Linked DNA regions of Bombyx mori. The main gene of each other region encodes a partner of the protein of the gene in region 6 in a complex. Links are inferred from orthologs where the notes say so. Each region holds a gene or a part of one and is shown on either strand. Other genes may lie near its edges. The genes, in order: U4/U6 small nuclear ribonucleoprotein Prp4, U5 small nuclear ribonucleoprotein 40 kDa protein, pre-mRNA-processing factor 6, U6 snRNA-associated Sm-like protein LSm6, peptidyl-prolyl cis-trans isomerase H, ubiquitin carboxyl-terminal hydrolase 39 and U4/U6 small nuclear ribonucleoprotein Prp3.

Region 1 (2,328 bases), on a different chromosome or scaffold from region 6:
TTTTTCAAAACAGATTATAGCCTATGTCACTCAGGAATAGTGTAGCTTCCGAACAGTGAAAGAATTTTTTAAATCGGTTCAGTAGTTTCGGAGCCTATTCAAGACAAACAAACAAACAAACCTTTCCTCTTTATAATATTAGTTTAGATTCAAATTGTTCAAAGTCGTCGGTCCTTAATATGTAGACAGTTAACTATTAAGAACTTAATTGTGGGCATGGCAATGTCAGGGTGACAGCCAAGCCTCATTGAACACGGAGTAATGTTCCTCCATCAGACGTCCGATACCAACGAAGCCACGGGCACTTCCTACTAACGGCTTCGTACGACCGGAGCGCGAAGCTGTGGTCCAACCCGGCCTGGCACCCACTGCGGACCCTCAGCGGACACGACAACAAGGTATGACCGCTTCGTATGTTCGTTGTAGGTGGGGAACCACCCGGGGAAAAGGGGGACCGAGTTATGGATTGGGGGATAAAACACCACCTCTAGAGCGACGTGCATGGAAAGTTTTTTTTGCCCAAAAAATGTATCGTTACGCGCTGGGGTTCGGGATAAATCAAAAATTCTACCGAAATATAAATTTGTAACTTAAAACACTTAAGGAGCAAATTCTCAATTCGCTTCAGATGATCCCTTCGCTACAATTCTGCAAGGACTATACGAAGGATTATGCAGGAAATCTTATGAGTAGCTTAGTGTATTTTTTTATAAAAATTAATCTGAACTTAAATTTTAACCATGAAGAAACTTAAGAAATATTTTTTTATTTTTTATTTTGTGTCCCCAATAGCTGTACTATGAGGTGTTTCAGTATTATCCATTCTTTCTGGGACACCCTGTATATATAAGACATCGTCCAAAAATCTTTGAGGTTGTTTTTTTTTTCGCAAATATTAAGAAATTGGTGTGGTCGTTGATTATTTGTCTAGAGTTTTATTCGCGGTCAAGGGGTCCACCGTGGTCCACTGGTTTAAACATGAGCCCTGTGTGCTTAGTGCAAGAGTTTTTTAACGTTCTCCTTAGCGTAAAAGTTAGCTCATATTTGTATGGAGTGGGATCGTTTGCCTGTTTGCCGTTAGGGGGCGCTGTTCATACTGCATACAAAATTGAGTTAACTTTTACGCTATCGAGAACGTTAGAAAACTCGCACTAAGCTCACAGGTCTGGCGTTCGACGTGTTAAAATTTACCTAATGTTATTATCACTACATAGTATAAAACAAAGTCGCTTTCTCTGTCCCTATATCCCTAAGTATGCTTAGATCTTTAAAACTACGCAACTGATTTTGGTGCGGTTTTTTTTAATAGATAGTGATTGATGAGGAAGGTTTATATCGACGCTAACGTGACTAAGCGACAATGCGTGAACTTTACAGTAGACTAATTTAAAGTTGAAAAACCTGAAAAAAATTCTATTTTAACGAATCTAGCTGTAGGATTGAAATGATTTTAATAGACATAGTAATATATATTTTTTACCTAACGAATACGGTTATTGCATATCATTTATGTACAAAGCAGTTTTCTCGCTTAGTCACGTTTGCCTTTCAAGCGTCGATATGTATAATAACATCCATTGAATAGTGGAGAAATCGATAATAAATGACATGTTTCCGAAGCGAAGCTAGGGCGGGTCGCTAGTTTATTTATATATTTATCAGACTGATGTCCATTCAGTCTGGTTGTAACGTGGTGAGCGCGTTGTCGTGTTGCAGGTGATGAGCGCGGACATATCTGGGGACAGCAAACACGTGGCCACGTGCTCCTACGACCGGACCTTCAAGTTGTGGGCTCCGGAGTTGATATAAATAAAGATGTACTCTTGGATCTGGATGTTTTTGTTAAATACCAAAACGGAGTGCGGGGAACGTTTTGCCACATACCATCCGGCTATAGAATGAGCTCCCCTCCTCGGTGTTTCCCGAGCGCTATGACATGTCCTTCTTCAAACGAGGCTTGCGGAGAGTACTTAACGGTAGGCAGCGGCTTGGTTCAGCCCCTGGTATTGTTGAAGTCCATGGGCGACGGTAACCACTCACCATCAGGTGGGCCGTATGCTTGTCTGCTTATACGGAAAAAAAACAAAAATCTCGGAGCTCTCGATCCACCACTTTAGGGGGGGGGGGGGGCTTGAGGCAAATTAGGATTTGTGGAGTGGTAATGGTGGAGTTTAGGGTAGTATATCGCTTCGTGTAGTTCTGAAGCAGTAATAAGTTTGTTTGGAGGGTAGATCTACCTTTATATAGTACTAGCTGTACCCGCCCGCACCTCTAGGCGTTTAAAATTAACATTATTATTTCTCACTCCCACAAAGATTCTCATCATTG
Region 2 (4,187 bases), on a different chromosome or scaffold from region 6:
GTAATTACTGGTGGTAGGACCTCTTGTGAGTCCGCGCGGGTGGGTACCACCGCCCTGCCTATTTCTGTCGTGAAGCAGTAATGCGTTTCGGTTTGAAGGGTGGGGCAGCCGTCGTTACTATACTTGAGACCTTAGAACTTGTATCTCAAGGTGGGTGGCGCATTTACGTTGTGGATGTCTATGGGCTCCGGTAACCACTTAACATCAGGTGGGCTGTGAGCTCGTCCACCAATCTAAGCAATAAAAAAAAAAAAATGCGTTCTCGTCTCTTTTAAAAGTTCATTACACAAACAAAGCGATCGGGGCTACACGTGAAAAAATTGTAACTTAAACAAATGATTTATAGCCGTCGTGACCTAAAGGATATGACGTTTGGTGCATTCGTATGTAGCGATGTAACGATGTTCGAATTGCGCAGGCAAGTGCCAATTTTTCTAATGAAATACGTACATATCAACTAAACTGACTTCCACGGTAAAGGAATAACATCGTGTAGTAAGAACAAAGCCCGCAAAATTATAATTTGCATAATTACTGATGGTAGGACGTCTTGTGAGTTTGCACGGATAGGTAGCACCACCCTGCCTATTTCTGCCATAAAGCAGTAATACGTTTCATTTCGAAGGCTGGGACAACCATTGAATTTTTGAGGAGGCAGTCTCCTCCCGGTGATGGTCACGGGGCCTCCCCCGGGCCAACTCCCTCACCTGAGGGGGTTGAGGCTGCGCCGCACGCTACCTACCATCACTCTAGCGCGCTGGCACAAGGAGGACGGGACAACACGTCAGCGACTACGGCCTGCAATGCGGTCCGCATTGTCGTCGTCACTATCGTCGCCGAACATACTGTGGAAGAGCAACGCGGTCGGAGGTGTATCGCGTTCTGACCCATCAGGCTGGTTTTGGCCAAGCAGAGTATCCCAGAACACCAGCGGCATCGCCCGGGCGGCCAGGTAGGGCCACCGTACCGCGGAGACCAGCGTCATTGGTCATCGACTACCGTCTCGACGACCCGTCGGTCAGGGGTCCTCGGAGGGGCGCCGCGTGTCTGGTTATAGTGTTGACCGCGGGAACCCCCCCTACATTGTCCGGATTCTGAGCCCGGACGGAGATCGGACGTTGGGTGTAAATGTGCAAGGGAGTCGTTTAGTGCGGTAGGGCCCTAAAACTCCTTGGGCCCGCGGTCTGCTCCCAAAACCTGCAGATCGTAAAGTTCCACATATCTCACGCCCTCTTAGGCGCGGGGACCTCTTAGAAGGATCGGCCCCGGGCCCGAAAAAAAACCATTGTACTTTAAAAACTGGGACATTAGAATTCAAATCTCAAGGTGCATGGCGGCATTTACATTGTAGATGACTATGGGCTCTAGTAAACACTTTAAGTTCTTCATTTTGAATGACTCATTATCTCATCTTCTCATCTGAATAGGTATACAAAAAAAAAACTTTTTAGAAGGTAGCTTTGTCTTTTGTTACAAAGAATTTGGCGATATTGGCTATTTTCCTTTTGCCTATACAATTGACAAATGAAACAAGCTAAACAGTCCTTATACCATTTTTAAGGTTAGTATTTCTGTTTGTAGCTATAAAAACAAATAGGTAAATAAACATCTTAAAAAATGCCAGATATAGAAACTAAAAGAAAAGCAGAGGATGTGTCTCTTGTACCCTCCAAGCGAGTACGGCATGAGATCTCAGTAGTCGGCACCAGAGAAAAGGCAGTTGTTACTTCATCTGTGAGTATTGTTTTCAATAAAGTTTACTTATTTTCTCAATAGTACGGTCTATAAAAGCTAAGAACTCTAACGCCACGGTGAAAGCATCAAGAGATCATAATTATAATTATTAGAAATGGAACATAACATCTAAAATAAACTTTTAGAAAAACACAATCTGTACTTAGGTAATCATGATTGATATTTGTTAAAATTTAAGGTAATACGAATTTTAGTCGGCTTTTACTTTAAGATTTATTTTTCAACATTTGTAGTGATCAACAAGATTCCAAGATTCCTGTGTTTTGTATTTTATATTCTTGTCGTTCTAGGTTCCACGAACATCAAACTTGTATGCGCCAATTATGTTGTTGGAAGGACACCAAGGAGAAATTTTCACAGGCAAATTTCATCCTGAAGGCAAACATTTGGCTTCTGCAGGCTTTGACAGACAAATATGTAAGTAACAAAATCATGACAAAGCTTTTGAATTGGCAAAGTGTTTCTAAAATTCACACTCTAATAATATACTACTATCAAAACGTTAATGAAGAATTGACACATTTGATAACACAAATTATAAGATTACAGTAGGTAGGTTTTAAATTTAATTGAAAAGAGTGAACAAGGTAAAATCTGACCTAGTGTATAAGTGATTATTGGAGACCATAGACATTATATTACAGCGTCTTAAATTTTCTCTGAAGTCCAAATCCATTTCAGTTTGATTTAATATGCATTATTAAGAATGACTGCCAGTACCAATATCCCAGGCATGGGCCACACTGTACTGGGGTTTTAGTGACACGAGCCCTATAATGTAGGGAACAATATGATACAATACTCAAAATGATAGCTGATATAAACTGTTTAGCTTAAGCCACCATTAATATAAAAAAATACAAAATAAATGTTTATACCATTGAAAATTTCCACCAATGTCAGGGTCATGTTGACAACTTATAAGCTGTACAAGTCCAACTTAGTAATATTATGATTTTTGATTTCTTATTTTCACAGTAATATGGAATGTGTATGGTCAATGCGAGAATGTGATGGTGATGAAAGGTCACACGGGAGCAATAATGCAGCTTTGCTTCTCACCTGATGGTTCACATTTGTACACTGGAGCTACGGACAATACTGTAGCAGTATGGGACGTACCCACCGGGACTAGAATCAAGAAGTTAAAGGGTCACGCTAACTTTGTGAACTCTGTTTCAGGTATGTTTCATAGTTTGAGTTTTGACACACAATGGTTTTCATGCTAGTGCTTTTTAGTAGTACAAATACACAACAGTAACTTAATTAAACATTACTTTGCACTCTCAGAGCCTTAAAGTGATTGGATCCAAATAAAGTGGGATTGACCTAAAATTGAAACTATAATCCGTAACCATGGTTTGAAACCAGATAACATCAATCTAAAATCTCAATGCCTGTGGATACAATAGAACTGTAAATTCATTCATGGCATCCATTAAAAAATTGGTTTAGACAACGTAACAATCTATTCTAACTTTCTCGTGTTATCTCTATATCCAGGAGCAAGAAGAGGTCCAGAACTCTTAGTTTCAGCTTCAGATGATAACACCATAAAATTATGGGATGCAAGGAAAAGGAATCCAGTTGCATCGTTTGACAGTTCATATCCAGTCACAAGTGTACTCTTCAATGATACAGCTGAAAAAATTTTATCCAGCGGTGTGGACAATGTCATCAAAATGTGGGATATAAGGAATAATCAGATTTCCTTGAAAATAAAAGGACATACAGACACGGTTACAGGTTGGTAATTCTTTATTGATTCTGATTAATTAGATTTTTATTAGGTGATAATACTGCAACCAGAAATTAAATTAAAATATTGATACAGTTTATCTAGAGTGGAGTGAGGGCAATATGATGACAGTAATGACTTCAGTCTATTAGTTAACTACTAAAATACTGATTACCATACAATGTATTTAACAAATATTGATCTTATGAGGAAATGAGAATGGATTGATTGGTATGCAGTACAGTAGTAGTAGTTGCATACATATGTATTTCTCTTTATAATCCCTGTTGTTACTTGTTGACGGGTGTATTGTAAACTTCTTCACCCATTCTGCCTTCGGTAGCCCAAACTGGTATTAGGTAATTTTAGAGAAATGTAACAGCTATTATTAGAATGTCTCTAGCCTTATAAGTAGTAATAATTCATGACTAAGACTACTTGTTTAGTTTACTTGTAGATCGTGAAGTCATCTACCCAGGTGCGGCAATAAATATGTGAATAGAAATCATATGAGTTTGATACATTTAATGACTGGCAATGTCTAACTTGTGTTGCAATACTCGTTTCCAGGATTATCATTGTCATGGGATGGTGCATATCTCCTGTCCAATTCAATGGATAATACACTCCGTATTTGGGACGTTAGACCGTTTGCACCAACAGAACGCTGTGTCAAATTAATGTCTGGCCACCA
Region 3 (3,500 bases), on a different chromosome or scaffold from region 6:
TACTGGAGGCGCCTCCGACCTTGAGATATGAGTTCTAAGGTTTCAGTATAGTTACAACGGCTGCCTCACCCTTCAAACCGAAACGCATTACTGCTTCACGGCAGAAATAGGCGGGGCAGTGATACCTACCCGCGCGGACTCACAAAAGGTCCTACCACCAGTAATTACGCAAATTACAATTTTGCGGGTTTGATTTTTTATTACACGATGTTATTCCTTCACCGTGGAAGTCAATCGTGAACATTTATTAAATACGTATTTTGTTACAAACATTGGTACCCGCCTGCGGGATTCGAACACCGGTGCATTGCTAAATACAAATGCACCGGACGTCTTATCCTTTAGGCCACGACGACTTCAAATGTAATGTTTTATTTTTTTAATTCGGCCTCATTTTATATAGCGTAAGGCCAGAAGGTGGTGGTCGTCCTTTAAGCAGTATCGGGCCAAATTTGGAATGATATCAGCCGTCAGCTCGACAGTTTATATTGCTATAAATAATAATTAGACTACTAACCGTCCTATTGAACCATTCCCTGCATTTGTTTAGTTTCCTCTCCGTCCAGAACAACTGTGAGACAGCCAGCAGCACGTGGGCGTCGTGTTCGCATTTCTTCAACGCATCAACCTGTAGAATAATACCAGTATTATAATTGAATAGGCAATTTCGAAAAGGGCACATGTCGCATATTTTGTCAAATACGTTTTTTCATATACATGTAGTTTTGAGGCTTACCTACACCCATTTTATAATAATTCCAGTAATTTTCAATTGCTAATTAACACTAAAATATATATCAAAAGTAAATATTTTAAATTTTAGACTGCTTTAGAAAATAATCAGCTTTTTTCATTTCCTGAAAATTTTACATTTTCAGAGATGTGCCCTTTTCGAAACTGCATATTCAATTACAATTCATCATCATCATAATCTGTTACTCTTGGCAAAGCAGTCGTGGTCTTACGGAAGCATTGTTTATTAAAACAAAACAAAATAAAACATTTATTATTTATTACAACTAAAAATGGTTAATTATGTGTTTTTCTTCTAGTGGGTAGGCCTTTAAAATTATCACAGTTTTACTATAGATTCGGAGTGTTGAGATTTTATTACTGCGACTAATCGGCATGACACTGAGTGCTTGTTCTTTTGACCTCACGCCTCAAAGGTGAGTGACGACTTTACGTTGTTATGTTTAGGAGCTCAGCTGAACACTTTACAGGGTGTGCCATTTGCCCAAAAAGTACTTGAATTTAAGGGTGAGTCAATTGTACTGAGATGCAATGACGTACCTATCTATACTAATATAAATATAAATATAAATCTACAGTGGTTTTTATGGATGTTCCGCTATAACTACTGAACCATGCGTCCGATTGATTTGAAACTTGGTATCCATGTAGAAAATACATGTACATGTTGCGGGGGCGTTAATGATGGGAATCTTTGTGGGGGTGAGAAATAATAATATTAATTTTAAATGCCCGGCGAAGCGGACGGGTACAGCTAGTTGTATTATAATTTATCTTATAGCCTAACAACTTACACTTTTAGTCTTCCTCTGCGGTCTCGATTCCATGAAGATAGCATCCGCCCACAGTCGACCGGCAGATGGGCACTCTTGAAGAGCTTTCGCCATAACGGCATTAGCTATTTCCGGGCTTCCGTTTCGTCTTTCCAATCGCACACTTTCTAACCTAAATAGAAGAAAAAATACAATCAATTCATTATGCTTATCTAGGAATGAAAACAGAATTTGGAAAACAAAATTCAAACGAGGCTTGTGGAGAGTATTAAGGGGTAGGCAGCGGCTTGGCTCTGCCCCTGGCATTGCTGAAGTCCATGGGCGCCGGTAACCACTCACCATCAGGTGGACCGTATGCTCATCTGCCCACAAGAGCAATAACAAAATAGAAATTGTATACAGTGTTTGGTTGATTAATGAAAGTAGTCGCCCTAAATACGTTATTACGGATCCTCTCGACTTTCATCAGTTGAATAATTAAAGCAATTAAAATGACAATGCGTCCCTCCGGAATCCGGTTACTGCACTGTTGAAGGTTTAACAGTGCTTTTAGGTACCACAAGCACCGGTCACCATCCTCGCCGAACCCGTCACTTGCAACTAAGGGCTCCACGAGTAAATTAATCTACAGACACAGCCCACTGAGTTTCTCGCCGGATCTTCTCAGTGGATCGTGATTCCAATCCGGAGGTAGATTCAGCGAAGCACTGCTCTTGCTAGGGCTAGTGTTAGCAACTCTCTCAGGTTGAGCCTGTGAGCTCACCTACCAGTACGATTAGGTAACGAAAAAAAAACCTCAGGCGTCCAGACCGAGCCATAATGTACGATCCCACACCGCATTCTAGTCTATAAGAATCTCTCTAGATTCTAGAGTATATGACAGTGACTAGTTTAAGAAGTGTTATATTAGTTAGCGTATAGTCACTGGACATGGTTTCACTTGAATTCACTCAGTGTCCTGTAAACTCCCGCCAATTCACTGTGATTATTGTTGAAGATATGACGTGATCGAATTTTTATCTCGACGCTGGTACTGCGATGGACACAACGAAAACAAAGTAATGAGTATAATTATCGTTCATAATTCTGCTCCTTTTTGGTCATTAATGGAAATAAATGATTATTACCATACGGTTTTTTGTTCTTTTTTTGCCTTCATTTATGAGTCAGTGCGTCTGCCGCCGAGCGTTCCCCTCAATATTTTTTTAAGGGATTTTATGACCTAGTAACGAAGACCTTTAGGTCAAGTCTTATTTTAATTTTAATGAAAACTTTTTTATATAGGAAAAATGATATTATGAAATGAAATGAAATGAAGTTGATTAATATGAAACAAGACATGAAATAAAATGAAATGCGATGAGATAATATAGGATGAAATATAATCTCAGTAAAATGGTGGTCATTTACTGAGACTTTTTCAGTGGACTTTTTGGAGGATCCCGAGAAGCTACATCCAGCGGCTTTGTTTGATTTTCCCACAATTATGCACTTTCATAGATATTAAACAGTTAATAAACCACCATTATTACACATTTAAACCTGAAGAAACACTAAATAGACAAAATAAAACAAATCACACAACTTCACTCCTCGCGTTCCCGCCAAAAAGTCGAGTCCCCATCAAAGATAGACAGAAAGCACAGATAACGTATAACCTACCACAGTTCGGCATTTTTAGGATTCCGGAGCCTGGCTTTCTCCAGCACGGACCTCGCTTTGGTCACGTGTTTCAGTTTTTCTTCCAGTCTCGACAGCAAGATCCACATGGGGACGCTCGTTGGACATTTTTTCAACTGAAAACACAACATTTCGTTAGATTTTCGCGAGTATTTTTACGATTTCATTTAGTGATTGTTTGTTGTCTTTATAATTCGAGGGGTGAAAAGCTATTTCGTTTAAGCGACATTTTTGCCACTTTAGAGTTGAGCCATTTGCAGTTTAAAATTTGGGTAAAATATCATAACATAAAGC
Region 4 (4,289 bases), on a different chromosome or scaffold from region 6:
TATGTGGTTCTTAAAAGACGAAGTGATTGTTATTACTAACTTAATAAATAAAATTTGAAAGGAAAACAAACCTCTATAGTCAACGCCGCTGTTTAATTTAACGACAACTGGGCGACCGTGAATCTGCTGTATAAACGAGGACAAAGCTTCCTTACGACTCATTTTTTGTGTTTATTTATTATTCTGATGAAATTGAAGACACGAAATACATTAAATGAAACTTAAAAATTTTCAAATTGGTCAAAGCGGGTGTTTTGATTACTTTTGATCTTTTTTTAAAGGTTTTTATGACTTGGTATCTAATACCTTTAGGTCGTCTTATTTTAATTTTAATGAATTTTTTAAAATGAAAAATTGTATTAATATTATGAAATGAAATGAAGTTGATTACTATGAAACATGGCATGAAATGAAATGTAATGAATTGAAATGAGATGTTATGAGATGAAAAATAATCTCAGTAAAATGGTGGTCATTTACTGAGACTTTTTCAGTGGACTTTTTGGAGGATGCCGAGAAGTTTGACATTCTATTTTCAAATCCAGTTATTTGTTTGTTGATTAGTGTTTTGTTTTCACTACATTTGTAATATAATGTATCTTACATCAATATGTACACGATAGAAAAGAGTGAATATGGAGAGTTCCGTCGCCGTGGCAATGCCGCAAAACGGCTCATATTATGTTTGGTATTTAAGAAATAATGTGTATGTACGGAAAGAACACTACAAAAGAACGCACGATTGGCCTGTACGGTTCAGCACAGAAGTTTTGATTTAAAACATTTTGCAGCTTTCAACGTTAGGATCAGAAGAATATTAGTTCATTTGGGTCAAGTTGGTGGGCAAAACTTGATATGTGGCACCCCCACACGAACTGAACGATCGTCACCCCATTAGGGTATCTTGAAGCATATTGTCATCTACGATGAATTATGTTGTTTATAATCATAAGCGGTCACATCAAGCTGGTCATTTGCGATGAAAAATGGATTATTGTTTATAATCATAAGCGGTCATCAAGCGGGTTGCAAACACACCCTGATTCAGAACTAGAGGCGACTTTACCTATGGTGCGAGGTGTGTGTGAGTTGCAGATGCGCGCTGCGGTTTTAGGGTGCACCGGCCTCTGCATTCTTAATGAATCAGTTAGATTTGTTCCTTTTTTTTTTTTTTTTTTTCGGGCCGGGGGCCGAACCTCCTACGAGGTCCCCGCGCCTAGGGGGCGCGCGGGGTATGTGAGACTCAGCGATCTGCAGGTGTTGAGAGCAGATCGCGGGCCCAAGGATTTTAGGGCCCACCCACCAAACGACTCCCCTGCACTCTTACACCCGACGTCCGATCTCCGTCCGGGGTCAGAACCCGTTCAGTGTAGGGGGGTTCCCGCGGTCAACACTACAACCAGACACGCGGCGCCACCCCGAGGACGCCCGACCGACGGGTCGTCGAGGCGATAGTCGACGACCAACGACGTCGGTCTCCGCGGTACGGCGGCCCTACCAGGCCGCCCGGGTGGTGCCGCTGGTGTTCCGGGATACCCCGCTGGGCCAGAACCAGCCTGCCGGGTCGGAACGCGATACACCGCCGACCGGGTTGCTCTTCAACAGTATGTTCGGCGACGACAGCGACGACGAAAATGCGGACCGCATCGCAGTCCGCAGCCGCCGACGCGCCGTCCCGTCCTCCTGGTGCAGTTAGATTTGTTCCTAGTCCAACTTGATTGCACGCTTACTAGAGGGCGCTAGAATAATTATTGCACTCGGACATTACATGGACTAGAGGTTCAGTACAAAGGCAATGCCTCAAATGAAAATCTATCTCTAAATATGTCATGTTCACTGTTTAGTGGCTTTGTTCTGGTATAATTCATCACAGCTTCCTACCAAATAGCATCATTACTACAGATGTGTATGGTGAGGAACAGGATACAATGATGAAGAAGCTTTTGTATCTCCAGCCTGCCCTTCTTAATCGCTTGTCCACACTTCTCCTATATGACAACGCTCAACCTCATATGGTACAATCGACCGTCTTTAAGCTACAAGAGGTATGGATGGAAGTTTTTGCATCCACCATACACACAAGTTGTTGCGCCAACAGACTTACTATTATCCTTTTTCCAAAGTTTGAACAACTTCTTGGTAGGGTAAAAATGCAATACCCAAGAGGTTAACTGAAAATAATTGGGCTTCCATACGCTCCACTTCTTCAAGGGCATTGAAAGATAGGCAAAAAAATATCAGTGATCTAGGGAAACAGCATAGTTACTACTTACTACTATGAATACTTATACCAAATTTTCTGGAGGAAAAAAAATGTTGGTTGGTTTGAATGATTAAAGTGAATGATGTGTGTTATTGAATGATTGATAACTGTCCACTTCGATAAAGCGGCACGACACGAGAACCCTCTCATCGTGGCCGCTGGTAACTACATTCCCGATCCTGCGGACAGAATGGAAAGCAGTCGACGTCGCCCAAAACACGTCATCTCGGATCCTCCTGATCCACTAACGGTGCTTTTAGGTACTTAAAGCACCGGTCACCGTTCTCGTCGAACCCGTCGCTTGCGACGAAGGGCTCGACGAGTAAATTAACTCTCAGACACAGCCCACTGAGTTTCTCGCCGGATCTTCTCAGTGGGTCGCGTTTCCGATCCGGTGGTAGATTCTGCGAAGCACGGCTCTTGCTAGGGTTCGTGTTAGCAACATCGTCAGGTTTGAGCCCCGTGAGCTCACCTACTAAAGTTAGGGTTACGCTGACAGCCGCTAGGGCTATCAGCTTAGGTAGGGAAAAAAAAAAAAAAAATTATAACTGTGAATGATATCGAAATTCAAATTGTGCTCTAAATTTAAATAAATGTTAACTACGGGGTATATGGGGTAATAAAACTAAACATAAACAGTATTTTTTTGTAACAAAATGTTCACTTTGCTTAAATATAAAAGTCTACGTTCTCTCTTTAGCTTCCATCGAAGTCCATACAAAACCAGTATAATTATTCAGTTCATTATCAGTCAGTGGGTATGGACTGTTGCTCGCTTTGTAGTAATCAGATGGAGCATGCATCACAAATTCCATGTATTCCAGTTTCCGAGGCAGCTCTTCTTCAGGGCCTGAAAATTTACAGCAATATTAACCTTAACTGTCACATTTTTTATATACACTATTCTTTTTTTTGCTATATGGCAGTTGAGTTTTCGTGATGCTATTGTTGCCAGTATTGAGTTAGTAAAAATCATATTTACAAAATAAAAATAAAAAATTAAGCTGAATTTAATTAAGTTGGTTTATTTCATTATATTCATTATATTGGGATGAAATTACATGATATAGATTGAAACAAGACGAGAGGAAGTGAAATCAAACAATGCAGGCTTTTTAGAAATGCCGTGTCAAGCGACTTATTTCGTTTTCTGCTATTCACGAGCTTTGATCGAATACACATTTAATGAGTCACTATTATTACAAGTGGAAAATCTAAAGCACTAAATTTACAAAATGAAAAAAATCACCCAAAATGCCTTAGATATTGAATAAATACTTTAATCACCTACTTCTGCCTGTTGCAAATATCTGTATTTCTAATTAAAATATTATTAAAAGCTCATACCAATGATATATGTAGCAGGATCAAAACATTTCTCTGGAGGTGGGCTCGCTTTTGTAGGTAATAACCAAGTAACAGCTGCACTCTTCTCACAGTACTCATCAGTTAGGAAGCCTCTAATTTGGGCATAGTATGTGCCACCATCAATGTCAGTCATCGAAACAATATCACCAACTTGCATGTACATACCCTGAAAAAATTACCACAGACTATTCAAAGCAGAACCGAGGTAATTTTTCAAGTTTTCATGTTTACTGTGAATAATAAGTTAGGGTTTTTTAAATTAAATTAATCTCTAATCAGTTTTTAAACTATAATTAGTATGCGATATAGCCTCAAGATTATTGAAAAATAAAAAAAAAGGTATATTTCTACAGCTGTTGTATATCTAACTACAGATTTTAATTGGATTAAATAATTGAACAGACCTGATAAAATACTGAATCACTTGTAACAACAGTCGCTGTAGCTGTTGGTGCTTTCAATGGCTGCCTTTTGAATAGACTCCTGCGTCCTCTGCCCCGCGGCGCCGGCTGCTTCAATGGCGGTGGAGCAGGTGTTTTAGGTTTGTATCTCGTTGATCTAGTGCTTTTCCTAGTGCCCTTGCCGGTAGCTTTAGCCGGCGTAGACTCCTCATTTTTACCATTATCTTTGTCTTCCTTAATGTCTTCACAATCGGTTT
Region 5 (3,000 bases), on a different chromosome or scaffold from region 6:
TCCTATCAATGAAAGCTACACTTCAAATGTTACGCTAGTCAAACCACATTTGGTAAAAGCAGAGTGTTCTGATGGAAGACTCTTCCACCATATGTTGACCCTTTGGAGATTCAGTCCTGGTCTAAAAAGAGAACAGCAGTCGTGTGTTGTGGACTTCCAGATAACATTCGAATTTAGATCAGCTATACATTCACATTTATCTAATTTGTTTTTTGACCAAGTTGCTCGACAAATGGAAGGTGCTTTCATTAAAGAAGTCGGAAGGCGCAATGGGCCGGCAACAATGCAGCCTAGAAAGTTACTAATAAACAATCACACTTTGAAAACTTGACGCTTACTAATTGCAAACCAAAAAAATTAGTTCAATTCAGTGTACATAATTATTGAGTATTTATTGTGATTACTTTATGTAAAAATTTGTGAATATTATATTTTATCTATTAGTCTGTTAGAAATGTGAGGCAGAGCCATTGTGATTTAATGATAATAAAAAGATAAAATTTAAAGTGAAGTTTTATTTACATTTGTCCACATTGAGATATTGTTACTGGTATTTTAGGTTTATTATTTGGTCCTGTTGGTACATTTTCTATTTTCCTCATGACAAGTAATCCATCTATAACTCTACCAAATACTACATGCTTATTGTCTAAGAAATTACATTTTGCACATGTGATAAAGAACTGACAGCCATTCGTGTCTTTACCACTATTTGCCATGGACAATAACCCTGGAGAGTCATGTTTCAAACCAAAGTTTTCATCTGCAAAAGTGCTTCCACCATATATGCTCATAACGCCTGTACCGTCTCCCTAAAATGAATAGTAAATATTAATAAACTTCCATCATGTTCAGTTAGGCATCGTTTTATCATAAACAAAACTTAATACGTACATTTACGAAATCGCCACCCTGAATCATAAAATCTTTTATTACTCTGTGAAAAGTAGCTCCTTTGTAACCTAAGGGCACACCATCCCGCCTGTATTCACCGGTACAAAATTCTCTGAAGTTCTCACTAGTTTTTGGTACTACGTCGGCGAATAACTCGAATATCATACGACCTATTTCCTAAAATAAACATAAATATTTTATAAACATAAATTTTTGTGTGTTCTTTTAAATCTAATAAAAAACAATAAGTTCGGGGAGGTATTTACCGTTGTTCCTACAGTAATGTCGAAAAACACTACTGGATTGTTAGGATTCCTAAGTTGTGACTGTATTTGGTTCCAAGTAGGCATTTCAATGTGTTAATATTGAAATTTTTACTAAAACAACATTACATTTGTGTTAACAATTTAAAACTTCTATAAGTTTTAGTTTGTTTGATGTTTATTGTTACCCGGCTGTCAAATTTTGAGGTTATACTTTTGACATCCTTTCCTTGACATTAGGTAGCTTACAAGCCTATTTGTCCAGATCTAAAAACGGAATTTCTGGTGACTTCAAAGGACAAAACTTCACGTTTAGCGAATTTGTTACATTTTAAGATTATAGCAGTTTCTTCTATTTCGGCGAATCGTAGATAATAATAAAACTATCCTAACCGTTTAATTTCAATTATTTCTAACGCTTAGAATAACTACATAAAGTATTCGTGATCACAGACGACTATGGTATTATTCGTCAACAATTGTATATTGGGCGGGACTTTTTTTCGGGGAAGGACAAAGTCGTGTAAATTATTGTATTTCGTAAATTGTGCGTTTCTTCAGATTTGAACGCCATACCTATCTTATAAGTTTTAATGGAACCTTATTTATTATCTAACAAATACCTACGGTGATGTCTTTCTTAATTCACTTCCTTAAATTTTATCCCATGAGCAATTAATTTAATTCCATTATTCCCCTTACCTAACATACATTTAAATTTATATATATTATATTTATATTTATTTAAAGGTTACAGTTTTGTGACAAGAGTATTGAAATTTGTATGGTCTATCTCCTTTTGCCCGTCCAATGAACAAATTATAGATAATACAATAAAGAATGAATTTCAAACAATCAATCAAAGACTGGGCCAGGCCATAAATAAAATACAAAAAAATTCTAATCAAAGACTGGGAAGTGGGAACAGCAATTGAATTAAAGAGAGGTAAACTATTTTTTATAAATAAAACTCTTTTACGAGTTTTTATTAAATATGGAAAGTAATGACCTACCTATTGATTATTATCAAATACTAGATTGCGATAGAACAGCAAGCCTTGAAGAATTGAAGAAAAGTTATCAGCGACTCGCTTTGACATTACATCCCGATAAAAATAAAACTGATGATTCTGATAATAAGTTTCGCCTATTACAAAAAGCTTGGTCAGTTTTAAGAGAACCTAGCACCAGGAAACAGTATGATGCTACATTAAGTTGCCATGAAAATAGTGATCTATTGCTTTATGAAACAGTAAGACTGTCTGAAATGGTGTTTGACAGTGATGAAAATGTGTATTTATACGATTGTAGATGTGGTGGGGTGTATGTGCTTAATAAAAGTAATTTTGTGCAATCTAGTGTAATAATTGGATGTGATGAATGTTCATTTTCGATTCAAGTGAATAGATAAAAAAGTATACATATTATTGCAGTTTTATTTATTTATTGTTTTATGTTTGGCTGATATTAAGTTTTCATCGGAACGAATACTTACAAAGTGAATGCCAACAACCACCACAGTGTAACTTAAAACTTTGGGTCGGTTTCATTTCGTTTACTTTTTTATGTTAATTAATCTAGATTTCAAAAAAACTTAGTTACTTTATGTAATCATTTTAATTATGTCTGATTATGAAATATTTGAAATTTAAAGTATAAAGTTTAATTATATAAATATAGTATTATAATAAATAGAGTATAAATATTGCAAAGTTCCAAAATATACATCTATATAGTTATCAGTATAGTTTAAAATACAGACATACAATAATCTCCTTCTGATTCTAATATTTAGTCATTCATTTTTTCCAAGTCCAATTCCTAACCATTTATTATTATTATT
Region 6 (4,114 bases):
TTTTTGTTTTAAATCCTATTTAAGTGGATGTGAATTGATATAAAAAAACCAGTCTTAATAAAAAAATAAAAAAGTTAGTGAATACAATTTTTAAATTGCAACAATACTAGGTATTTTCACCTGTGGAATAATATTTTCGCGGAACTCATCAGTGAACAATGGCGTTGGAGGCAAATCACATGTGAGGTACAAAAATGGAGACTCAGTGATCATTTCATTGTACTCTTCACTGCTAAGATCGACTTTAGCTGCATCATCAGCATCCGGCGGTGGCAACTTTCTGAAAATTTCAGTCTGTTCAGAAATTTTTGACTGCATATAATGATAGATTAAATGTTAATTATTTTGAACTTTAAAAAATCAGATGCTTAAATCTTACCTTGTATAGATCCTCATGTGACCCAGAAATGACTTATAAATTATGGAGCTATTTGGCTTCTTTGTACCATTCAGTGCCATGTGTAATGAATTTAGAAACCAAGACAGAAAGTCTATTGGATCACCTGAGCAAAAATTTATTTATTTATAAATTTTTATTATTATTATAAAACAATATATAATTAAAATATAAAACTGATCAATCAATATTCATACTTTTTAGCATAATATACAGAAATTACACTAAGAAAGCATGTTCGTATATCCAAAAAACTACTAAAATCTTACTCTGCTTAATAAACTGATATCGCTTCTTAGACCACAGCACAACAGCCTGCAACATCTCGTGAGGAGATACATGTGCTTTAAAAGCACGGGGGTTCCATAGTTTGCGTAATAATTCACCAAATCTTTGTACAAGTAAAAAAGACGAGTCCCCTGGTGGTCTTTTTACACTAGCATAGTTCTCTTCTCTCAAAAAGTAGTTACGTAGGGGACGTACTTGTGACAAACACTAAAATCATAAAATGAATTTAGTATAAAACTGTGACAATATTAAGACTTTGTAGCACTGTGTAATTATTCACTACAAATATACATAATGGTTAAAACAGAATCAGTTTGACTGTAACGCATCTACTTTCACAGATCGCCGGCAACAAAAATATAAGTCGCATTTATCATACAATAAAAACAGTACATATCATAAAATGTATTTAATAAAAACATATACTGACCTGCAAAATTACATTACAGTAATCATTGGCCTTGATATTATTAAGGCCTACAATGCCAGGCATATACATTGTGCCATCAATGGCTCGTGACATCTTTGTGTTAGTATCTATAAGCTTGATCTGTTCAGGTGTGAATGTTGGGTTCAAAACATATTTGATGTCATTCAATGAAGAGTCTAAAATGTGAAATTGTCTTTTTTTATGACTGTGATAGGTAGATTAGCTCCCGGCTCATCTGATGCTATGTGATTACCCGCATCCCTATAACAGGAGTTCTAAGTCTCAGTTTTACAGTACAACAGTAGCTGTCCCCTTCACCAATGCACATTATTGCTTCACGGCAGAAATAGGCAGAGTGGTGGTACTTACAAATGCAAGCTCTTAAGTCACCCTTAGAACAAATTATAATTTATGCAAGTTTATTATAATCACAAGATGGATTTGATACATTCCTTCACCAACGAAGTGTTAAATACATATTAAAAAAATTGGTACCTGCCAACAGAATTCAAACACCACCACAGTTGCACTGCCCAATACAAATGCACTGGGTGTCTTGTCCATTAGACTATTACAAGTTTTAAAGCTTTACTGTACTTCTAGTCATTGATACCTAAATTTAAGCTTAAAAGTATTTTACTTGATTCCATTTTGGTGTATAAAATTTTAAAAATCAGTCAAATTTTCCTTATTATTAATTTACTTACAAAAATAAAGTCTAACAATTTATTTTAAGTTATCGCATGTGTTAACAACTGTAAAATGCACCAATTCTTAATCATAATATTTTATAAATATTTTCAATGCACAAAATCATCAATTGACCGAATTCATTTATATCTTATTATTATTTTATTTATAATTAATTTATATCTAACATAAAAGCTATTTTAGCTAACCAAGTTAAAAATATGTAATTTACCAATAACTTCATAATTGTCAGGAAGACAATAGAACTTTAATGTGTTAAGATTCAAAAATACATGGTGTCCATCAGCCACTGAATGTGTGTAGGCATGAGTGTTGGTGCCTCTTCCCTGGAAAGTAGATAGATTTTAATGATTTTTTCGCAAGTGATTAATTCAAATTTATGCCTAAGTCAACATAAATAACCTATCTTACATATCACTACAGCAAAGAACTGGAATGAAATGCCAGGAACAACACTGGCGCTCATAAAAATCGTCATCATGAAAACAAGTAACTTGCCTGTAAAAAAAAGTTCAAGCCTCTAATCACCAAAGCCATGACAATTGCATAAATATTTTGTTACCTGAAAATATTTACCGCACACTAAGCAAGCGTAAACATTGATTCTAGTCAATGAAACCGAGCACAATTTCTCAAAGTCAAAATCTAAAACATGCCGATTGATAGTATCCAGGTAAGGACATTGAATTTGTTGAGTTTTCGAATATCGTCCTGAAAATATAATAATACTTTGATTACAAATAGCAGTAGAGTGCAGAATCATAGAAGGTTAGAATTGCATTATCAAGTACCTTGTTTGTCAGTCCCATTTTCATCAGTTATTTTGCGTTTTCTAGATTGTTCTTCAGTCATTTTATTACTATCATAGACTTTAGACAATGTAGTTAAATGAAGAATCTGAAATCTAAATGTAAAATGTAAATATTAATCGTTAAATGAACTTTTTATGGGATTTTATGATACGGTAACTAAGACCTTTAGGTCAGGTCTTAATTAAATTTATATTCTTATTTTTATGAAAAATGGTAATACGAAGTGGTATGAAATGAAATGAGATAATATAGTATGAAATATGAAGTCGTCGTGGCCTAAAGGATAAGACGTCCGGTGCATTCGTGTTGAGCAATGCACCGATGTTCGAATCTCAGGTGGGTACCAATTTTTCTATTGAAATACATAACAAATGTTAACGATTGACTTCCACGGTGAAGGCATAACATCGTGTAATAAAAATCAAACCCGCAAAATTATAATTTGCGTAATTACTGGTGGAAGGACCTCTTGTGAATCCGCGTGGGTAGGTACCACCACCCTGCCTATTTGTGCCGTGAAGCAGTAATGCGTTTCGGTTTGAAGGGTGGGACAGCCATTGTAACTATACTTGAGACCTTATCCATCCTCCAAAAAGTTCACTAAAAAGTATCAGTAAATGACCACTATCATAGTGAGATTATATTTTATACCATATCATCTCATCTCATTTCACTTCATATTATCATTTTTCATAAAAATAAGAATATAAATTTTATTAAGAGTTGACCTAAAGATCTTAGTTACCGTGTCATAAAATCCATTAAAAAATATTTTAGTAGGAGTATGTGTTCTATTTTCGAACTGGAAAGGCAAAAGTATGATACCATACAGCCTAATCTTTCATATTTTTTTGCTTATGATAAATGATTATATGAAATGAAATGAAGTTGATTAATTTGGAACAATAATCAATTGGCATGAAATGAAACGTAATGAGATGAGATGAAATATAGTCTCAGTAAAATGGGAATTATTTTCTGAGACTTTTTCAATGGACTTTTAAAAAGATCCCGAGAAGCTACATTTAACGGCTTTGTTGCATATTCATACATTTGTGCACTTTCAAAGGTATTATACAGTCAATTAACCACCATTATTACGCATTTTAATCTGAAAAGACACTACATAAATTAAATAAAACAATTGACACTGCTACGCTCATAGATTAATATTTGAAAGCTTCGCTCCTCGAATTTCCGCCAAAAAGTTATTATTTTGCCAATATTGTAATTATAGAGTAACTTGGCAATTTTTGGTAATATTTAGGCCTTGTCCGCACAGCGATATTTCACCGCGCGATTTTTTTCTCGTAATTCTGTAACACATTTAATATTATAGAAGTATCCGCACTGGCGGGAACGAAATCGCGCGGGAAAAAAATCTGTGACTTGATGCAAATTGAACGCGAAGCGGTGCGATTTATTTCCGCGCGAATATTTTGTATCGTGTAGAGTAAGTATGGCTATGTTCGCACT
Region 7 (4,195 bases), on a different chromosome or scaffold from region 6:
GTTACAACGGCTGCCCCACCCTTCAAGCCGAAACGCATTACTGCTTCACGGCAGAAATAGGCGGGGCGGTGGTACCTACCCGTGCGGACTCACAAGAGGTCCTACCACCAGTAATATGTGTAATAATAAATGTGTTAGAAAATGGAATCTTCAAACATATCCAATCAGGTGGTATATTTTAAAACTGTTATGTGCATATGACTGGTGGCTAGCAGGTTTGATCATCCAACCAGAATGAGGAAGTCAATAACACATACCTTAATCCTGTCTGCACTCAGGATAGCCATCTTCGATCCTGGAGTCTCTCCTTCGGGAATAGCGGGAAGATCATCAGTTCCATTCTTTTCCTCCACATCTTTTTTCTCCACATAAACTTTCTCATCTTGCTTTGAACCTTCGTACCGAGATCTCTTACCATCTCTATCTCTGTCACTCTCATGTTTCCTTTTCGATGAAGTTTTTGATGACGTTATCAGTTCCTGGGCCAATGCTATGACCTTATCGGTTAGTTTGCTTGCCTTTTTGGAGTCTATGTGCGATGAAAGTCGGTCAATAATTTTTCTACGTTCATATCTGAAATATGAAGAACAATTTTCTTAGTTACTAGTGGTAAGGTATGCCAAGGAATACAAAGCTGTAGCTTTTTTAATTTTCAGCAATGCGTAGTGTAGTAATATTAGAATATTAATATCATTTATCATTTGAAACATAAAATCAAAGTTACCATCTCATTTGTACAAATATTCAAAATTATAAGTTTGCAATAACGAGGTATATTATAAGTCAGCACAGGTAGGCATCGCAATGCTGACTGTTTTTGCCCCAAATTAATAATACATTCCGGTCTGGAAGATGGAATAGCTGTACAACCTTCAACCTTTTTTTAATGCCCTTGGAGGCAGACACAACGAGCATGCAGCCCACTTGATGGTCAGCGGGTACCGTTGCCCATGGATGATGTAATGCCAATAATAGAGCCAAGCCGCTGCCTATCATAAGTAATCTCGACAAGTCTTGTTTAAAGAAGGACATCTCATAGTACATGGGAAACACCAGAGAGGGGATTCCAAAGCCGGAAAATCTCATACCATACGAGTTTTAGGTCAATGAGGCACAGTGAACATTAATGTCTGTTCTTTAATAACTTAGAAATTGAGTAACTAGCTGTTTTCATAAGTCAATATTTTTATATATCTATGCTTGAAAGGCAAACGTGACTTTCGGTTTGAAGGGTGAGGCAGCCGTTTAACCATACTTGAGACCTCAGAAATTATATCTCAAGGTGGGTGGCGGATTTACGTCGTAGATGTCTATGGGCTCCAGTAACCACTTAACACCAGGCGGGCTGTGAGCTCGTCCATCTAGCAATAAAAATAAAAAATAAAGATATTTGATTATTTAAAATTCTGTTTGTTTACTATTCAACTAGCAAGCTCACCCGTTCGTCAAACACGACGAAACAGTCGATAGAATTGAGTTATCCGATTTTCCTATAGTCCTGTATATGGCACGGTCTATTGATGACCGGAGTTCCTCTACCTCGCGACGGGACAGCTGAAGTGCCATATCGTCACAACAACTCAACAGAACGAAGTCAAACAAAAATATATCTTTAGCTGTTTTTTAGGTTAAGTTTGACAATTTATATTCTAGCTTTTTATTCAATAACACGTAATATATTTCGGTTTAACTTAGATTAACACTTTTTTGGATTACATTTTATAGGTAATTAATTAATAATAATACATTTTTATTTAAGTCTATTTCTGTTACTATGTATTCCGTCAAAATTTCGCTTTGACGCTTTTGCGTTCATATGACGTTGACGTAAATTTACCAACCAAAAAATTAAAAATTTAGTTAACTAAGCTTTGCGATGTTAGTTAAAATTAATAGTGTAAATATTTATGATGAACAGCAATTTTCGTAACCGACACTTATATAGCAAAACCGCATCATTCCCGGTTGAGTATGTGGTGGCCGGTTCTAGTAATACTAGAAAGGTTTCCGGGGCATCACCAAACCCTTTGTCCAAGATGTGTAAGAGCATTTCGCCAGTGATCAATATACACAGACCTCTATTGTACTCATAGTCACCAGCTTGAAGCTGTCATTGATAACTATCGTTGCAGTTGGCTTAACTGCTCGAGCAGTTGGCAATTTGGATTACATAGTTTATAATTCCATTTATGTTCTTACATTTTCAGCACTTATGACGTAGCTGGTAACTATATACCCAATCCTACGGATCAAACGGTAAACAGTCGCCTTCGCCCTAAGCCCTAATCTCAGATTCTGCTCTTGCTAGGGACAATGTTAGAAATTTTGCCAGGTGTGAGCTCACCTACTCGTTTGGTGAATCTAGTACGAACCTTCGAGGAAAAGAAAAAGAAGAGGATAGTGTAGACGATTATGCTTCTATAAATAAAAAGTTAGACCGCATGATGCGATTTCTTCGTCATTTCGATTAGAAAAATAAAACAAAATACCAAGTTTGACTTCTGACATTAGTGACTTTAAGCTATAGATCGACTTGTTGTATTTACGACAATTTGCGTTAAAAACAGGAAATTTTAAACGGAAATCTTAAACAACATAATATATAATTATTATTAGTGTATATTTGCATTTCAATACAGTAAAAACAAAGTTTTTAAGCTCCTGACTGAGACAAAAATAAGGTTTTTAAAGCCTTTGATCAGAACCAAAACATAACCTATTAATATAATCGGCATTTATTTTAGCTTATTTATGTTAATTATTAATGAAAGTCGAAGTTTAATCAAAACAAAAAACCACAATGTCTGATGACGAAGATATCGCGTATCTAAAGAAACAGAAGCAGGTACATTATGGGTCGCTGGAAGAACAGGAAAAGGCGAGACTAGCAGCCTTAGCTGCAGCCGCCAAAGAGGGAGCAGAGGACCCCGGCGGCAAAGAACTAGGAGACATACAAATATCTAACGGTAGAGCCTTATTAATACGCTTTTATTAGCTTCAGACGTGTGTTAGTATGTAACGGAATCTTAGAACATGATTTTGACCCACTTCAAAACGTCGGATTAACTCGAAATTTGGTATACTTATTAAGAACCGATGACAATTCAATATTAATAAAAAATTGGAAAAAAAATATTGAAGAAATTGAAATTCAACTAAAAAATGAAATTAAATAATTATTTAAAATAAAACTAACAAAATACGCTTTTATAGAAAATCCAACTAAAAAATAATAAATAAATTTGAATTAAAAATAGCGTAAGAAAAAAATTTCTTATTGTAAAAAAAAGCGTGGGGTGCACTATATCAGTAGTTATAAATATTTTATGAACAGATAAAGTACAAGGGTTATTCTAATAATATCCTGAAAAGCAACCCATGCTTTTTTTTACAATAAAATATTTTTTTCTTACCCTACTATTAATTCAAATTTACTAAAATTTATTTTCTATTTTTTAGTTGGATTTTCTATAAAAGCGAATTTTGTTATTTTTTTAAACTATAATTTTTTTCGGTTTGTTGTCAAAGACTATTAATGACTTAACTGATGTTAGAACGTCTTGTGAGTCCGCACGGGTAGGTATTACCACCTGTCAATTTCTGCCATGAAGCAATGCGTTTCAGTTTGATGAGTGAAGCGGCCATTGTATTATAAAACTGGGATTTGGAACTCATTTCACAAACTAGGGGGCTGCATGGTTGTCTATGGGCTCCGGTAACCACTTTACACCAAGTAGGCCATGAGCTCATCTACCCATATTTTTTTTCGCTTCGGTTTCCTCGATACTGAGCATTGTGACCACCCATCTAAACAATAATAAAAAAATACTTGGAGTGCTTGTGTGTAGTAAGTGTTTATTGCTAGTTGTGTTGACAGTTGTCACTTCGATTGCTCAAGTTACGTCAAATAGCAGCATTCTGGTTGTGAACTCCAGTCTCCACTTAACGCTAGGTGACCGTGAGTTTTATCCGTTGATTGCAATAATAATCCAATTCTGTCGTAAATTTCATTATTGTTAATCGCCAAATAAGCTCAGTTAGCCTTAGATGAACCGCTGAGTGTTTAATATTTACTGTCTGACAGAGGATACAATTTTTTAAATCAGAATGTTTTTTTTTTTTTCCGAATGCAGTTTCTAAATCACGAAGAATCAGCAAGATACCCAATGCTTGTTATCTTATGACTGTGCAACAA

What was found.
Region 1: ubiquitin carboxyl-terminal hydrolase 39 (region 6) and U4/U6 small nuclear ribonucleoprotein Prp4 share a complex: the UniProt entries of both Homo sapiens proteins name them as parts of the U4/U6-U5 tri-snRNP complex. The link is inferred for Bombyx mori from reciprocal best matches to the Homo sapiens genes USP39 and PRPF4.
Region 2: ubiquitin carboxyl-terminal hydrolase 39 (region 6) and U5 small nuclear ribonucleoprotein 40 kDa protein share a complex: the UniProt entries of both Homo sapiens proteins name them as parts of the U4/U6-U5 tri-snRNP complex. The link is inferred for Bombyx mori from reciprocal best matches to the Homo sapiens genes USP39 and SNRNP40.
Region 3: ubiquitin carboxyl-terminal hydrolase 39 (region 6) and pre-mRNA-processing factor 6 share a complex: the UniProt entries of both Homo sapiens proteins name them as parts of the U4/U6-U5 tri-snRNP complex. The link is inferred for Bombyx mori from reciprocal best matches to the Homo sapiens genes USP39 and PRPF6.
Region 4: ubiquitin carboxyl-terminal hydrolase 39 (region 6) and U6 snRNA-associated Sm-like protein LSm6 share a complex: the UniProt entries of both Homo sapiens proteins name them as parts of the U4/U6-U5 tri-snRNP complex. The link is inferred for Bombyx mori from reciprocal best matches to the Homo sapiens genes USP39 and LSM6.
Region 5: ubiquitin carboxyl-terminal hydrolase 39 (region 6) and peptidyl-prolyl cis-trans isomerase H share a complex: the UniProt entries of both Homo sapiens proteins name them as parts of the U4/U6-U5 tri-snRNP complex. The link is inferred for Bombyx mori from reciprocal best matches to the Homo sapiens genes USP39 and PPIH.
Region 7: ubiquitin carboxyl-terminal hydrolase 39 (region 6) and U4/U6 small nuclear ribonucleoprotein Prp3 share a complex: the UniProt entries of both Homo sapiens proteins name them as parts of the U4/U6-U5 tri-snRNP complex. The link is inferred for Bombyx mori from reciprocal best matches to the Homo sapiens genes USP39 and PRPF3.

What each region holds. Positions count from the first base shown.
Region 1 is NC_085130.1:18,531,980-18,534,307, reverse strand, and holds the end of U4/U6 small nuclear ribonucleoprotein Prp4, read left to right. Parts: intron 1-276; coding exon 277-398; intron 399-1,716; coding exon 1,717-1,809; 3' UTR 1,810-1,828; downstream 1,829-2,328. UniProt on the Homo sapiens protein: Plays a role in pre-mRNA splicing as component of the U4/U6-U5 tri-snRNP complex that is involved in spliceosome assembly, and as component of the precatalytic spliceosome (spliceosome B complex).
Region 2 is NC_085109.1:1,114,844-1,119,030, forward strand, and holds the start of U5 small nuclear ribonucleoprotein 40 kDa protein, read left to right. Parts: upstream 1-1,387; 5' UTR 1,388-1,617; coding exon 1,618-1,734; intron 1,735-2,045; coding exon 2,046-2,172; intron 2,173-2,733; coding exon 2,734-2,937; intron 2,938-3,258; coding exon 3,259-3,501; exon of another isoform or gene 3,502-4,063; coding exon 4,064-4,187. UniProt on the Homo sapiens protein: Required for pre-mRNA splicing as component of the activated spliceosome. Component of the U5 small nuclear ribonucleoprotein (snRNP) complex and the U4/U6-U5 tri-snRNP complex, building blocks of the spliceosome.
Region 3 is NC_085109.1:9,950,173-9,953,672, reverse strand, and holds part of pre-mRNA-processing factor 6, read right to left. Parts: intron 3,323-3,500; coding exon 3,189-3,322; intron 1,699-3,188; coding exon 1,548-1,698; intron 629-1,547; coding exon 518-628; intron 1-517. UniProt on the Homo sapiens protein: Involved in pre-mRNA splicing as component of the U4/U6-U5 tri-snRNP complex, one of the building blocks of the spliceosome.
Region 4 is NC_085134.1:2,613,317-2,617,605, reverse strand, and holds the start of U6 snRNA-associated Sm-like protein LSm6, read right to left. Parts: upstream 2,801-4,289; 5' UTR 163-2,800; coding exon 72-162; intron 1-71. Other genes in the region: GATA zinc finger domain-containing protein 1, read right to left, coding at 2,947-3,113, 3,611-3,797, 4,036-4,289. UniProt on the Homo sapiens protein: Plays a role in pre-mRNA splicing as component of the U4/U6-U5 tri-snRNP complex that is involved in spliceosome assembly, and as component of the precatalytic spliceosome (spliceosome B complex).
Region 5 is NC_085116.1:6,472,058-6,475,057, reverse strand, and holds peptidyl-prolyl cis-trans isomerase H, read right to left. Parts: upstream 1,585-3,000; 5' UTR 1,245-1,584; coding exon 1,161-1,244; intron 1,072-1,160; coding exon 895-1,071; intron 813-894; coding exon 519-812; 3' UTR 501-518; downstream 1-500. Other genes in the region: coenzyme Q-binding protein COQ10 homolog A, mitochondrial, read left to right, coding at 1-331. UniProt on the Homo sapiens protein: PPIase that catalyzes the cis-trans isomerization of proline imidic peptide bonds in oligopeptides and may therefore assist protein folding. Participates in pre-mRNA splicing.
Region 6 is NC_085121.1:4,081,172-4,085,285, reverse strand, and holds the start of ubiquitin carboxyl-terminal hydrolase 39, read right to left. Parts: upstream 2,801-4,114; 5' UTR 2,679-2,800; coding exon 2,618-2,678; intron 2,538-2,617; coding exon 2,389-2,537; intron 2,153-2,388; coding exon 2,038-2,152; intron 1,292-2,037; coding exon 1,116-1,291; intron 893-1,115; coding exon 667-892; intron 504-666; coding exon 380-503; intron 281-379; coding exon 121-280; intron 1-120.
Region 7 is NC_085130.1:18,544,909-18,549,103, reverse strand, and holds the start of U4/U6 small nuclear ribonucleoprotein Prp3, read right to left. Parts: upstream 2,801-4,195; 5' UTR 1,567-2,800; coding exon 1,439-1,566; intron 574-1,438; coding exon 258-573; intron 1-257. Other genes in the region: U4/U6 small nuclear ribonucleoprotein Prp4, read left to right, coding at 2,801-2,966. UniProt on the Homo sapiens protein: Plays a role in pre-mRNA splicing as component of the U4/U6-U5 tri-snRNP complex that is involved in spliceosome assembly, and as component of the precatalytic spliceosome (spliceosome B complex).